Linked DNA regions of Saccharomyces cerevisiae S288C. Changing the gene in region 2 together with the main gene of any one other region gives a genetic interaction. Each region holds a gene or a part of one and is shown on either strand. Other genes may lie near its edges.

Region 1 (3,071 bases), on a different chromosome or scaffold from region 2:
GCAATTAGGACTTGGTACAAACATTTATAACGCAGAAAGGTTAGGTCTGGGAGGTGGAGGTGATATGCCTGGTTCAGAGTTGGCTGATTTTGTTGAAAATGCCGATGGTTTCGCAGAAGTTTTCCCACAGCATAAATACAGAGTCGTTGAAATCTTGCAAAACAGAGGTTACTTGGTTGCTATGACTGGTGATGGTGTTAACGATGCCCCATCTTTGAAGAAGGCTGATACTGGTATTGCTGTCGAAGGTGCTACCGATGCTGCCAGATCAGCCGCTGATATTGTTTTCTTGGCCCCTGGTCTCTCTGCTATTATTGATGCCTTAAAGACTTCTAGACAGATTTTCCACAGAATGTACTCCTATGTTGTTTATCGTATTGCCCTATCCTTACATTTGGAGATTTTCCTGGGTTTATGGATTGCTATTTTAAACAACTCTTTGGATATCAATTTGATCGTTTTTATTGCTATTTTCGCAGACGTTGCCACTTTAACTATTGCTTATGACAATGCTCCTTATGCTCCTGAACCTGTGAAATGGAACCTACCAAGATTATGGGGTATGTCTATTATTTTGGGCATAGTTTTAGCTATAGGTTCTTGGATTACTTTAACCACCATGTTCTTGCCTAATGGTGGTATTATCCAAAATTTTGGTGCCATGAATGGTGTCATGTTCCTGCAGATTTCACTAACTGAAAATTGGTTAATTTTTGTCACTAGAGCTGCTGGCCCATTCTGGTCTTCCATTCCATCGTGGCAGTTAGCCGGTGCCGTTTTCGCCGTTGATATTATTGCTACCATGTTTACCTTATTTGGCTGGTGGTCTGAAAACTGGACTGATATTGTGTCAGTCGTTCGTGTCTGGATTTGGTCCATTGGTATTTTTTGTGTATTGGGAGGATTTTACTATATTATGTCCACGTCTCAAGCCTTTGATAGGTTGATGAATGGTAAGTCATTAAAGGAAAAGAAGTCTACAAGAAGTGTCGAAGATTTCATGGCTGCTATGCAAAGAGTTTCTACTCAACACGAAAAAAGCAGTTAGTAATTTTAAACATCATCCATCTGATTTTTTTTCTTATTGATCTCCTTTTTGTTATTCCTCATTTTCATTTCAATTTGTCGATACCAAGGAAGCCAAGACGTTATAAAAGAACACGGTCAACAAAAATCAAATTAATGCCTCTTCAATTGTGCTCTGTTTGATACCTTCGATATGATGTTACAGTTTTAAAGTTTACACACAAGTTTTTAGACTAAGTGGCATCATATCTGTCAATTTTATCACACACACACACACACACACACACAAACAAACATATCCACATATCAGAAGTAGGCCGATCTTTTGCTTGATTGGATGCAAATTCATATGGAAAATTTTTTTCATATTATTTCGTGTTCTTTTGACTATTTTCCTCTCCAAAAAGGAAGAATCATTCCAATAACAACACACGAATTCCCATCCAACATGGTGAAATGACTAAATATTTTTTTTTTCGAAACATTAAATCAATCTAATTCTTAATTTTTAATAAACATATAATGCACACTTATTTACATACAAGCACATTGCACGTATTATATCAGTTTCTTCTTTTATGTTGATATATTTTTCTAATAATGTTATTATCATGTAGTCGTGTATGTGCGCCTCTCCCGCGAGAAGTCCAACACCATAAGAAATCAAATGTCAAGAGAAATAAAGAATTGTTTCCCATCATAGATAAGACTATATCAGAAAAGTGCTCATCAAAGCTAAATCTATTATGAGATGTCTTAGGCATAACAAAAAAGGGAGAGCGGTGCAAGATAAACATACCGTCGGATAAAAAGTACTGTCATTATCATCAGTGGCAAGATGCAAGGTACACACGGGCACCAAGAGATAATGCGCAAAATAAACCGGGTTTTATTTACATCTATACATACAGTAACCTCTTTGAATCATACATATCTGAAAAGACGGTAGATTTAAAATGGCTATTTATTGATGAGTCAATAGTTCGGACTAATGGTAAAAAGAAGAGACAATGGGTAGACAGAGACTTTATTCTATGTAAGATAGGAATGACCACTCGAAAAACAGTAGATTCAAGACTTTTAGAATGGCAAACCACATGCAAGCATCCAGTGATAAACTTGACTCCAGAGAAAGTCGATAAATTATACCACTTGAAATTGAAAAGTGAAAGCAAAAATATCAGTTCAAACAGGCTATTGCCCATTTCATTATCAAGCTTACAAAAAAAAATGGAGAAACTTTTCATCAAAGATAAAAGTCACTCACACAAGCCTTCCCTTCCAGATCCTAAGGTGCCAACCCTACGCACTTATAAAGATGGTGGATTTTTCATTAGCGGAAAAGGTTCAATGAAACTACCAGATATCGAAAGCGCTATTCATAAATTTTTATGGAAGAAATACGGGAAAGGATTGGTTTACTGTTATGGGTGTGATCCAACTGGAAAAAAGAGGCATACAGAGTGGTTCAATGTGCCTGTATTGGAGCTACCATCAGTACTAAGACTTATTGATTCTTATTGCCTTGGAGGAGAATCTCGTTAGACTTAAAAAAAATTTTTTGGCCTATTCTGGCCGGTTTATTCAAATTATTTATCATCATAAAAATTGTAGTGTTACCTTTCTTTTCCTTGAATTATTTATAGAAATATATGTGCTTAGCAATTTTATCACTGTTACTTCGATTTGTAGTACCCTTAAGTAAAAGAGCTTTTGAAACCAGTTATCAAAAGAATATCACCAATTGATCTTTTGCTTTCGAGAATTGTATCACCATATCTTCCCTCAAGTAGACAGTGGACGAGATGTTTCGAGATACTCGGGGAAAGTCTCTTCCAATGTGCTTCACTTTCAAAACTGGGTAAATATGCAATCAGCGTTTTTACATTCAAATTACTATCTTTCAATTTAAGCTCTGAGGTTATTCCATCGTGGAAAGAGTTTATACCACATTTCGATGTAATAAAATGTGTTCCTGATTTGCACGGTTTTAACGTCAATACCGATGATATGTTGACAATATAGAACCCCTTTGCTTTTTCTTG
Region 2 (3,890 bases):
GACAAAACCCGTCCTTCCCTAGCTGAACTACCCAAAAGTATAAATGCCTGAACAATTAGTTTAGATCCGAGATTCCGCGCTTCCACCACTTAGTATGATTCATATTTTATATAATATATAAGATAAGTAACATTCCGTGAATTAATCTGATAAACTGTTTTGACAACTGGTTACTTCCCTAAGACTGTTTATATTAGGATTGTCAAGACACTCCGGTATTACTCGAGCCCGTAATTCAACACAAGTGTAATTTCAATAGCTCGCGTGGCGTAATGGCAACGCGTCTGACTTCTAATCAGAAGATTATGGGTTCGACCCCCATCGTGAGTGTTGTTTTTTTAAATAATTTCCTGGCTGAAGGGAATAATGTTGTTCAACAACGAAGATATTTCTTATTTTTCTAAGAGGTATTATGATATGATACATGACAATAAACATTATGAAATTTTTTGTGAAAGATGTATAAATTTATAAAAAAAAAAAAAAAGTTACTTCCTCCACTTCGTTAGCTCATATTAGTTTCTTTTATTCCCAGACTTTCTGCTTTTGATAATAATCTAGCAAAATAGAAAAGGCATGACTATAAACCAAAACCACCATTAGAATAGGCCATTGGTTTTATATCTGGGTGCTCAACAGCTTCGAATGTCTCAATTATTAGATTTTGGTCGTCATTCCTGCCAGCCTGTAAAATACCATGGCCTGGTACAACATGAATAACACCCCCAAGATTACCTTGGCTATCACAATAGTTTGGAGCACTGAAAACTGTCATTAATTTACCCTTCTGCTCGAATTGCACACCACCCATTCTTAACTCGTGAGATCTAAAAATCTTGCGCAATTTGTTGTTTCTTAGAAATCTATCTGTAATGTCGGGTCCAAAAGCATGTCCTAAACCACGCTGAGAAGGACCCATCCCGTTGGCTTCTTGTGGGTCCGCCCATAGAAGTTCCATAAAGGCGCCATCTCTAGGTGGTTGGGCAAATCTATCAATATTCTTGAAATCAGACAAAGTTGCTGAAGGATCACTTGGTAAACCACCATGCATTACAAGGTAATCATTATTAATTAAGGTAGCCAATGGAAGGCTCTCAAAACTTTGTGCAAACATGTTAAATATCCTTTGTGAATATTTGTATTTACACTCATCTTCAAACCCATAGATTTTGTTCATATTATCACTCTCATGATTACCTCTGTTCAAAAAGAAATTATTTGGATGTAATATTTTCAAACAGTAGAATAATAGTGCAACTTCACACGACCAAGAACCACGGTCGACAAAATCACCATTGAATAGATAAGTGTGCTTAGGACCTACTTTACCAAACTTGCGAAATAAATTCAAAACATCATAAAATTGGCCATGCGTATCACCACATACTGATATCTTAACATCAGGAGTAGAGTTATTTTCTAGTTCTACCATAGATGGCTCTTGACGAAATAAGGTATCAGCATGAGAGATAATAGCTGCAACGTACTTTTTTGGTAAATATTTTCCCTTTAGGAAAAGATCGTTAACCATTTTGGAAATAAACTCTTGAGACATGTTCTTGATCTTTGCACCTTTAAAGGCATTCTTATCGTCATACAGCTGTTCAAATTCTAACTTTGGACCTTCATAATTGGCTAAATCTGCATTAGCATCAAATGAACTCAAGTTCAAAGTCTGACACAAACTGATCTTGGCTTCATTTTCTGCGCCTCCGATAGCTTTCCTAAATCTTTCTTCTCTAATGAACCTATCACATGTAAGTAACGCCTTAGTAGCAGCCGGATCATTGGGCTTCGCCTTTAGAAGCACATTCAAATCTTTCCTAGCCTTTTTAAATTCTAGCAGAGCCATGCAGGATAATGCACGTCTATGATAAGCTTTGATATTTTTGGGATCCAGTTTAATGGCTTCATCACAGTCATTTAAAGCGCTTTGAAAGTTATCTACCTTAAAGTGAGCAAATGCTCTGTTCGAAAAATAGATAGACTGTGTAGAATCTAAATCGATCGCCTCTGTATATTTTTCAATGGCCTTTAAAAAATGTTTTTCCTTCACAAAAACATTTCCTTCGTTCTTTCTTTCAAGTGCCTTCGCGCGATCTGCTGCTGTGGGTGTTGACATATTCGAGATATTTGATTATACCAAGGCAAGCGTTATTTCTTGCCTCTAAAATTGTTAAAGTTCTGTGTCAAGCTCTATAAGCTGTTTTCGCCAATTTTCTTACCTCATCTGTGAAATTTTTCAGTTTCCCGCCGTCGTTTTTTTCCCTGGTTTAGCGTTTTAACGGAAAAAGAAATACATACATACAATGATTGAAAAAATATTTTCATAAAGAAGAAAATGAGAAGGAACTTTTGAGGACTAGAAGTGTTCCTGATAATTGTCTCAGCCAGAATTTTCAGTGGCCAAGGTACGAACAAGAAACTGCTAAAAGGAAAAAAAATACTCAGAATAACAGAAGATGACAGACAGTATTGTGGAACCCCAACAATTATCTCAAAATTTACCTATTTCTTAAGTATAAACAGTACACTGCATCAGTGGTATTAGATTTGTCATGGTGTAAAATTTTATGATAAAAAAATACAACATGGCGGGCGTAAAATAAAATACATATTCGTAATCCTGGAATATTACGCCAACTACAACCAATAACTTATGATTATATTACCAGAATATTATCATGTATGGCTCTCAAAATATGACATAAATGGTTTCTATTAAAAGCATCATCAATTCAATGAAGCTGAAATTTCAAGGATTGGTGATGTAATAGAACAATGAGCGGCGATATCATAGAACGAAAAAAGAAGTAATCGTCATTTTTTGTAGCACTCTTATTTCCTTTTTTAGAGTTCTAATCCTCAAGGTGAAACCGTAACATATGCATATACTTAACGATACCGCCTTCTTTGAAAATTAGAAGCCTTATATCTATTTCGAACGCACATATGTTGTCATACACAATGCGACACATGAAAATACTACTCTTTACACCTGTATTATCAAACTATTAATCAGTGACTTCCGAAAAAAATAGGTCTCTTGGCCCAGTTGGTTAAGGCACCGTGCTAATAACGCGGGGATCAGCGGTTCGATCCCGCTAGAGACCATTTACTTTTTAGAATGCAAATATAAGATCCCGATAAATCATAGAACCACCACTTACTTATTCACTTATGTGGTCCTTCCTGCTGTGGGCAGAGAGCGATTTGCACGTACAAAGCGATCAAATTACGAACAAAACAATACATAAGAGGTTTGGACACGTTCTTAAGGCTAACTCCACATTGCGATAACAAGATTAAAGTGAGCTCCTGCTCATTCCTAATTGGAACTCATCATGCCTCCCATCAAGGTGGAGCCTGGATTTTACTAAAGAAACCGTTCGAACGGCTCTGTATTTACTAAGAGGGGGATATATCAAATCGTGGAAAACATGAGAGAACAGTCTCGTTGCGTGCAACAGCCGCTATCCTGCTGCTCTCTGCATAACTGGACCTTGCGTATTGGGTTCATTCTTTTGGCTTTGTGAAACGATTCACAAAGCCATACGTCCGTAGTATGGACCCTGCAGGAATGGTCTACATTTTCTATCTACTAGTAAAGCTTTATTCACATATGGGTGCCGCACGGCGCGGGTTTTTGCAAATTTTCTTAGCATTGACTCATGGCAAGATTTCTCCAGAAAATCAGTAAAGCCTCATCCAGCCTCTCTTCTTGAAAAAATTATGACTTTGAATCGCATATTTCAAAGATTTGCCACTTGCTTAGTTTCATTTATTCTAATTTAACTTTTATACTATTTTTTTTGCTTCCCAGTTAAGCTCACCAAAACACAAATACTCACTACAATACAATATGTGTGGTATCTTTGCAGCCTTCAAGC
Region 3 (3,300 bases), on a different chromosome or scaffold from region 2:
TTGCCCATTTCATTATCAAGCTTACAAAAAAAAATGGAGAAACTTTTCATCAAAGATAAAAGTCACTCACACAAGCCTTCCCTTCCAGATCCTAAGGTGCCAACCCTACGCACTTATAAAGATGGTGGATTTTTCATTAGCGGAAAAGGTTCAATGAAACTACCAGATATCGAAAGCGCTATTCATAAATTTTTATGGAAGAAATACGGGAAAGGATTGGTTTACTGTTATGGGTGTGATCCAACTGGAAAAAAGAGGCATACAGAGTGGTTCAATGTGCCTGTATTGGAGCTACCATCAGTACTAAGACTTATTGATTCTTATTGCCTTGGAGGAGAATCTCGTTAGACTTAAAAAAAATTTTTTGGCCTATTCTGGCCGGTTTATTCAAATTATTTATCATCATAAAAATTGTAGTGTTACCTTTCTTTTCCTTGAATTATTTATAGAAATATATGTGCTTAGCAATTTTATCACTGTTACTTCGATTTGTAGTACCCTTAAGTAAAAGAGCTTTTGAAACCAGTTATCAAAAGAATATCACCAATTGATCTTTTGCTTTCGAGAATTGTATCACCATATCTTCCCTCAAGTAGACAGTGGACGAGATGTTTCGAGATACTCGGGGAAAGTCTCTTCCAATGTGCTTCACTTTCAAAACTGGGTAAATATGCAATCAGCGTTTTTACATTCAAATTACTATCTTTCAATTTAAGCTCTGAGGTTATTCCATCGTGGAAAGAGTTTATACCACATTTCGATGTAATAAAATGTGTTCCTGATTTGCACGGTTTTAACGTCAATACCGATGATATGTTGACAATATAGAACCCCTTTGCTTTTTCTTGAGCTTCAGCTTGAACCTTTGGAAAAATGTTACTCAAGCAGAACTTAGTTATCAATATTACACTTTGTAAATTATACCTCACGATTTTCTCGAATTCATTTAAAGACTCTTCATCAAGTCTCAAAAATTTGTCTTCTTTGAGAAGAGTCGATTCGATTCCCTCCTGCATGTTGTTAATGAGCACTGTAGGAATTATTTCTAAATTTTGAAGGTAAAGCATGGATTCCTCAAGACATTTTATGTCACTGAAATCTTTGCAAGAAATAAAAGTATACAGTTTTTCACTTCTCCTTGCGTTTTTTCCATTAATACTGTCTATAGTGTCAATATTTATAACCTTTGTATGATAATCTTCTATAAATGTCTCGCAGAGCTCGATGCCTAACTCATTTGAAGAACCGCCAATAATTAATACTGTATCGTGGCTAGGATGGAACTTTTTACCTAAACCGACATATTGATAAAAACTTACGAGGACTTTGTAAATTGTTTTCTTCATGTCAGATTTTTGGGCTCTATTACTAGTGGACCTGTGCTTCGGACATACGCAGTTTTTCTGTGGTTTCTTTATACGTCACAAATCTGTATTATTATTGAGTCACTAATTCAAATGCGTGTGACAATATAGCGACGGGGCCGTGCAAAAATAAGAGATACTGCACTTGCGCGGCTGATAGAGATTTCTTTCTTTCTACGCTGGGATAGTTTTCTTAGAAGGTTTTAGCTATTCTAATTAAAATGTTGTTCCCACCAGTATTTATTGGCACCTTGGACAATTTTAAAAATCACTGCTAAAACGGTGCTATGACACGATTTTCTGGTACTAAAACGTGTTTTATGAAATTAACAGTATATACAAAAAGTAAAAGGTATGGATAGTTAAATATGTGTAAAGCTATAATACAAAGAAATAACACAAGATAGTTGAGTTTATTTGGTCAAACTAAAAAGAGGAAATAATTATAGTGAATAATTCCAGATTTTGTTAAACACCAATTCAAACAAACTGAAAACAGGGAGAAACCAACCCAAAAAATAAAATAGATTCAGTGATAACCCAATTCTACCGCAAAAAAAAACTAAAAAAATAAATAATAGAAAATTAACAGATACAAAAACGAAAAAACAAACTGTTTACAAAACATTTACATGCGTGTTCATTAAGCTGTCGAAGGATATTATTTCTTTGATTTATTTTTTTTTTTGAATAGGCCAAATCTCTTCTTCTTACCACCATTTTTCTCCTCATTGTCACCATTATCGGTACTAGGCGAAGCCATATTCGCCATTTGACTTGATGAGGACAAGGTTGGAGTGCTTGGGGCTGAAACAGAGGTTGTAGGAGGGGGTGCAATATTTTTGGGATCGTTTATATCCACAGTGCTACTTGTATTGTTGTTTGTATTTGTAAATTGCATTGCGTTATGAACTACCGAGTTGGTGGAAATATCAGGGTTGCTACTACTGTTATTAACTTTGTTGTTATTATTTGTAACTTCTATCATGGTACTGGAGCTAAATTGCCTTTGTGTGGGAACGTGATTGTTTAAACTAGGAGCAGGGACTTGGTTAAAAGTATTGTTTGGGTTGGTGGCATGTGGCATATTCAGTTTGTTTTTCGATTGTTGTGATCTCAATCTATTCTGGTTTACGATGCTATGCGTTGGCATGGAATTTAAGCGAGTTTGACTTGAATTGTTCGGTGGTCTGCCAAAATCACTCATATTTATACTGGAAGGATTACCAATATTAGGCATATTACTATTTCTATTCTTCCTACTTGTGGGCTTGATAGAGTGTGAGTGAAAAGGTTGTACTTGTACCGATTGTTGTGGCTGCTGTAGGGGTAAGGAAGGAGGTTGTTGCGGGTCATATGCAGCGATACTTGAAGAAATTGGGTCTACAAAATTTCCGGCGGATGCAGGTTGAGACATAGCGCCATTGGTGCCATGCATTCCTCTGCTGTTAGAACGAACGTTTGCAGACTGCTGTAATTGAGGGAAGGAAGGCTTTCTTGGAATTGAATTATTGCTATTATTAAATCTTTGTTGCTGTAATGCTCTTTTCTGGAACTCCAGTTCACGTTCTTGTAGCTCTAATTCCTTTTTACGGAGTTGCAATTCGCGTTCTTGTAGTAATTTGTCATTCGTGCCATTATTCTCTCCGAAAGTTTGTGAATGTGAGGATAATGGTGAGTTCATTTGTGGCTGAGAGCTTACAACAGGTGGTGGAGATCTCACTGGAGAGTCTCCGTAGTTTACACTATATAGTGCCATATCTTCGATGTCCCTCAAATTCGGAGTTCCTGTTGCTTTATATTCATTTGTATCGGATTGGTTTGTTGCTTCAGTTGGCGTTAGTGCTTCAATTGATGTTTGAGCTTGAGATTGGGCTTGAGCTTGGGCTTGGGCCTGGGCTTTTAGAGCGACTTGATGTTTCTCCTTTAACTCATT
Region 4 (4,152 bases), on a different chromosome or scaffold from region 2:
TCTAACCAAGGCATTCTCTTTTCCCTTTTAATTAGTTCACAGTCACTGGCAAACAATCTTCTCTAATCAAAAAAAGAAATTTATTCTATATTGTCTTCTCCGTATTTTGCCCTCTTCACTCCTTTTGCCGTGCCTCGCATAATCTAGTTATTGTGTTTAATATTGTTTTTCTTCTTGAAAACTTGTGTAATAATTTACAATAAAATTTAGTGTTATAGTGAATATACTAGAGACATCGACAAACTTTTTTGTCAGTTTTCAGCTAGACAGTTGTATTGATTGTATTGACTAGGTCTGGATTAAGATGGGCACATCCTTCAGTAGCTACTCAGGAGCCACAGTTTTCATAGTAGTAATGAGATATAACCGCCGCCAGCTATCGGTGTTTTCTAGGTCCACTACTGTTATAAAAACTATAAACCCTATCATTTCCGTAAATTCTTGAAAGCGTTAGTTTATGATGAACTTCCTAAAGAACCTGGCAAGGCGACCAATACCATATAATTTGCCGAAATACTAACAGTGATCAAGCAAAGCGGCAAAACTACTAAAGCACACCTGCTTAATCAGGAGACGTTATTCTCACATTGCGTCTTTATAAACTTTCAAAGCACGCTCCCTACTATGCTTTAAATCAACTAAAGGTTTTGGATAGTTTTCTGGACGCTTATTTTCGGAAGAAATCAATTCGGGAACCCATTGTTTGACGAATATCATTTGTGGGTCATATTTTTTTGCTTGTATATCCATATTAAAAACTCTAAAATATGGTTGGGCATCAATTCCTGTACTAGAACAAAAACCCCAGCCACCAACATTTGAAGACGAATCACCGTCTATCAAGTGTTTCATAAACCAGCGTTCCCCCCATCTCCAATCTATTAATAAGTTTTTAGAAAGAAAAGAAGCTGTGATCATTCTAGATCTGTTATTAATATAGCCTGTGTACAGTAATTTTCTCATTATGGCATCGACTATGGGAATGCCTGTATTACCAGTACACCACTTTTCAAATGCTACAGGGTTATTCTCCCATTTTATATCTAAAGTGTCCAATCGATAAGGCATTCCCATTGAGGTATATGGCCAGTTGCACATACAATGTCTGTAAAAATCTCTCCATGCAACTTCTTTGATGAAATTTTGGGTGGACGAATTATCTTTCAGTGCTTTTGACATTATTTGTCCGTTGCATGATTGAAATGCCTGGTTGACTATAAGTCTTGTGCTTATCCTACCAGTAGTTATATATACACTTAGCCCAGAGGTTCCACCCAAATATAGCATGTCTTTTTCATTGTTGTACTTAGAACTTTTTGTACCGAGGAAATCTTTTAATCTGGATAAAGCTGCTTCTTCAGAAACGTCTGGCAAGCACCATTTTGATTTAGGTATATATTGAAGGAATTCATCCGGTAATGAATATTGGAATGGCTTCAGTTCAAAAGTTTCGTTGTACTTTAATGGTTCGATTATATGCAAATGACAAATTTCAGAGGTACTCTTTTTGTAATTATTTACATATAGCACCCATTTTTTGTACCATGGAGTAAACACAGAATAGTTGGTGCCTCTGTCAGTAGTGATCAATCCAGGAGCAACAATGCAAGAGTCGTGGTAGTATTTCAATTGCAATCTATGGTCTTCATTTTCTAACAGCCTAATATCACGGTACAGTTCATCTGTTTGGTATTCTATATTAGCAGTGATTATCGTACCTGTTCCTGAACTTACATTCATACATTTTTCTTTGAAAAACTCCACGAACTCTTTTGAATTAGATAAGGTACTTTTTGGAGTGTGGAATTCCCACAGAAGAAGAGGTATGTGTAATTCGGCTAAGGACTGCTGCAAATTTTTTAACGCCCCCATTATAAACATCAATTTCCATCCGCTATCCATATGGGCTCTCCAATCATCTTCATTGATGACATAAACAGCATATAATTTGGCTTTTGCGTTTTTTTGCCTCAATTGCTGGAAGAGCGCAACACTTTTGTACAGTCCCACATTATCATATAAACGTAGATCATTTCGAAACCAGTGCATGACAGTGCTAACATTCTCAAACGACGTTTTTTGCTTCTTTTGCAGTTTTTCCACAATCTCCATTGGTTTAGCCCGAGACTTATTATTGAATTGATTTGCGCCTGTCCTAGTAATTGGCCTTGGATAATATTTTTTGTTCAACGAGTGGTATTGTTCAAAATCATGTTCTATATCCAGCCGAGATCTCTTACTAGCATATGCGTTCGAGGAAGATATTACCGTTCTTTTCATTATCAGTGCTGGTTGTCTGTTCTGTGAAACGAATTGTAAAGAGGAATAAGTGTCAAAGTAAGCATACTTTCACCCCTTAAGGTTTAATTTGACTGCTTCCTCGAAAAACGAGGAAGAAAAGTGGCGCCAGTAAAAGCGAGATATGTAGTTCGGGATAAAAATAATTGAATACGCAGTCATCAAACGTAATTGTTGTAGCTAGCATTATGAAGCGTCATCTTCATATCAATAACTTCTTTAATATGCTTATTGGATAGAAAGATTTATGGATTTCAAAAAGCTCCGATGATGATTCTGGATAGAGTTTTGATTTTGCATAAACTTCTAGATAACAATTTCGAGAAAAAACAGCTGTATCTTCTCATATTGTTAAAAAGGTGGGTTCAATTGACGGAGCTTGTTATATTATGCTTGGATTTGTTACAAAATACTTGCTAAGTAATATTAAAAGGATACTCTATGAATACAATCAGTAAAAAGATGTTGGTACTAGCGCCGGTGTTAAAATGCACACAAAATATACCATAATCTTGACTACGTAGGAATAAATCCTGTATAAAGTCAAACCAAAAACAACGTTACCTTGATCTTACTATTGCCAATAAGTATGAAAACCTCAGATTAATTATGGGCAATAATTGCGTATTGAAAAAAAATTGAAAAAATATGTGATGCGAAGTTCTAGCTAATATGTATGTATCTCATTTGGCTAGGTCGTAATGTCTCGGATAAATGCCTGCTCAATTGAACCTAAAGAGTAATCTCGTTTCATTCGACCTCAGTTGCCTGTATAACGTTCCTCTGGGTGTTACACGTCAAGTTATATTTTTCGGATTGGACGGATTGCGAAAAAATCCTTGAGTAATAAGCCACTAGATTGTATCCTACTTCACCATTTTCTATTTCTGTTTCTGTTTCTTTTTTTATTTTCTTTCTCGTTCTATATGCAGCAGATAATGGATTAAAGCTCCCTGACAGGCAAATTCCTGAGTCAAATCAGGAACGGTCGTGATACCAAGAGAGTCTGGCTTTGAGTGTTCTCCAATAATAAGATTGGAGCATTTTGACGTGGATCTAGGGAGTATATCGGAAAAAGTTCTTGTATAATGGCCAATTACGAAATCTGGAGCCTTACTTTTTCCTTGATCTGGTTTTTGCCTTTCCTTTTGGTTACTATTTGAGTAATTGAGCCTGTCCTCATCTAGGAACATCAATCGAAAATGATCGCTGTAGAATTTCACATGCCAACGAAAACGCATACCGTCCAAAGTGGAATATAGATCTCGCATATTACTTTGTTTGATTATTTGGTATTTTTTGACCGGCTGCGTTTTAGAAGGATAGAAGAAATCGTATTTAGTTTCAAAAAATCCTTGATGAGCATAAATTTCACAATATAAAATTTTGCATAAACGAAAAACTTTATCTTGACAAATAACTTTACAATCAGAGTATAAAGGCGGATCTTGCACCCCTTGTAAAACGTACTTGTAGATATAGAAATCCGGCGAGCTCCGAGTAATTTTGCCAATAACGTTATAACTTTGGACAATATGAAAAAGAGGAACACCTACACCATCCGCATCTAGAGTACTGATATTAAAGTTTGTCTGTTTGAATTTGTCATAGGATTGCTCACTTGAGAATACAAAATATCCTCTAGTCCCGAATATACTTGCAATGGGCATATTTCTCTCTCTGCTAAAATGGAGACGTTCAGGAATTGTGTTCCTTTGAGTCTTTTCAATTCTATAATTATCATCATCACTCAATGGTTGACCACTGAAACCACGCATTGTTAATTGGTTGTTTCTTCTTTGAATTATTATGTCTTGGTTTCTACTGCCCGCCTTATATACAGTAGCTCAGTGA

The links.
Region 1: mutations in PPT1 (region 2) and YPL034W together harm fitness more than expected from each alone (negative genetic interaction), as found in Saccharomyces cerevisiae (one large-scale study listed by BioGRID).
Region 3: mutations in PPT1 (region 2) and SRL4 together harm fitness more than expected from each alone (negative genetic interaction), as found in Saccharomyces cerevisiae (one large-scale study listed by BioGRID).
Region 4: mutations in PPT1 (region 2) and PHR1 together harm fitness more than expected from each alone (negative genetic interaction), as found in Saccharomyces cerevisiae (one large-scale study listed by BioGRID).

What each region holds. Positions count from the first base shown.
Region 1 is NC_001148.4:484,639-487,709, forward strand, and holds YPL034W (uncharacterized protein), read left to right. Parts: upstream 1-2,073; coding exon 2,074-2,571; downstream 2,572-3,071. Other genes in the region: H(+)-exporting P2-type ATPase PMA2, read left to right, coding at 1-1,048; SRL4 (Srl4p), read right to left, coding at 2,724-3,071.
Region 2 is NC_001139.9:736,082-739,971, forward strand, and holds PPT1 (protein serine/threonine phosphatase), read right to left. Parts: upstream 2,123-3,890; coding exon 581-2,122; downstream 1-580. Other genes in the region: ASN2 (asparagine synthase (glutamine-hydrolyzing) 2), read left to right, coding at 3,863-3,890. UniProt on the Saccharomyces cerevisiae protein: Protein phosphatase that specifically binds to and dephosphorylates the molecular chaperone Hsp90 (HSC82 and HSP82). Dephosphorylation positively regulates the Hsp90 chaperone machinery.
Region 3 is NC_001148.4:486,862-490,161, forward strand, and holds SRL4 (Srl4p), read right to left. Parts: upstream 1,347-3,300; coding exon 501-1,346; downstream 1-500. Other genes in the region: YPL034W (uncharacterized protein), read left to right, coding at 1-348; SVL3 (Svl3p), read right to left, coding at 2,026-3,300. UniProt on the Saccharomyces cerevisiae protein: May be involved in the regulation of dNTP production. Induces the SOS system when expressed in E.coli, therefore, it may play a role in DNA metabolism and/or in genome stability.
Region 4 is NC_001147.6:1,064,967-1,069,118, reverse strand, and holds PHR1 (deoxyribodipyrimidine photo-lyase PHR1), read right to left. Parts: upstream 2,281-4,152; coding exon 583-2,280; downstream 1-582. Other genes in the region: YOR385W (uncharacterized protein), read right to left, coding at 3,204-4,076. UniProt on the Saccharomyces cerevisiae protein: Involved in repair of UV radiation-induced DNA damage.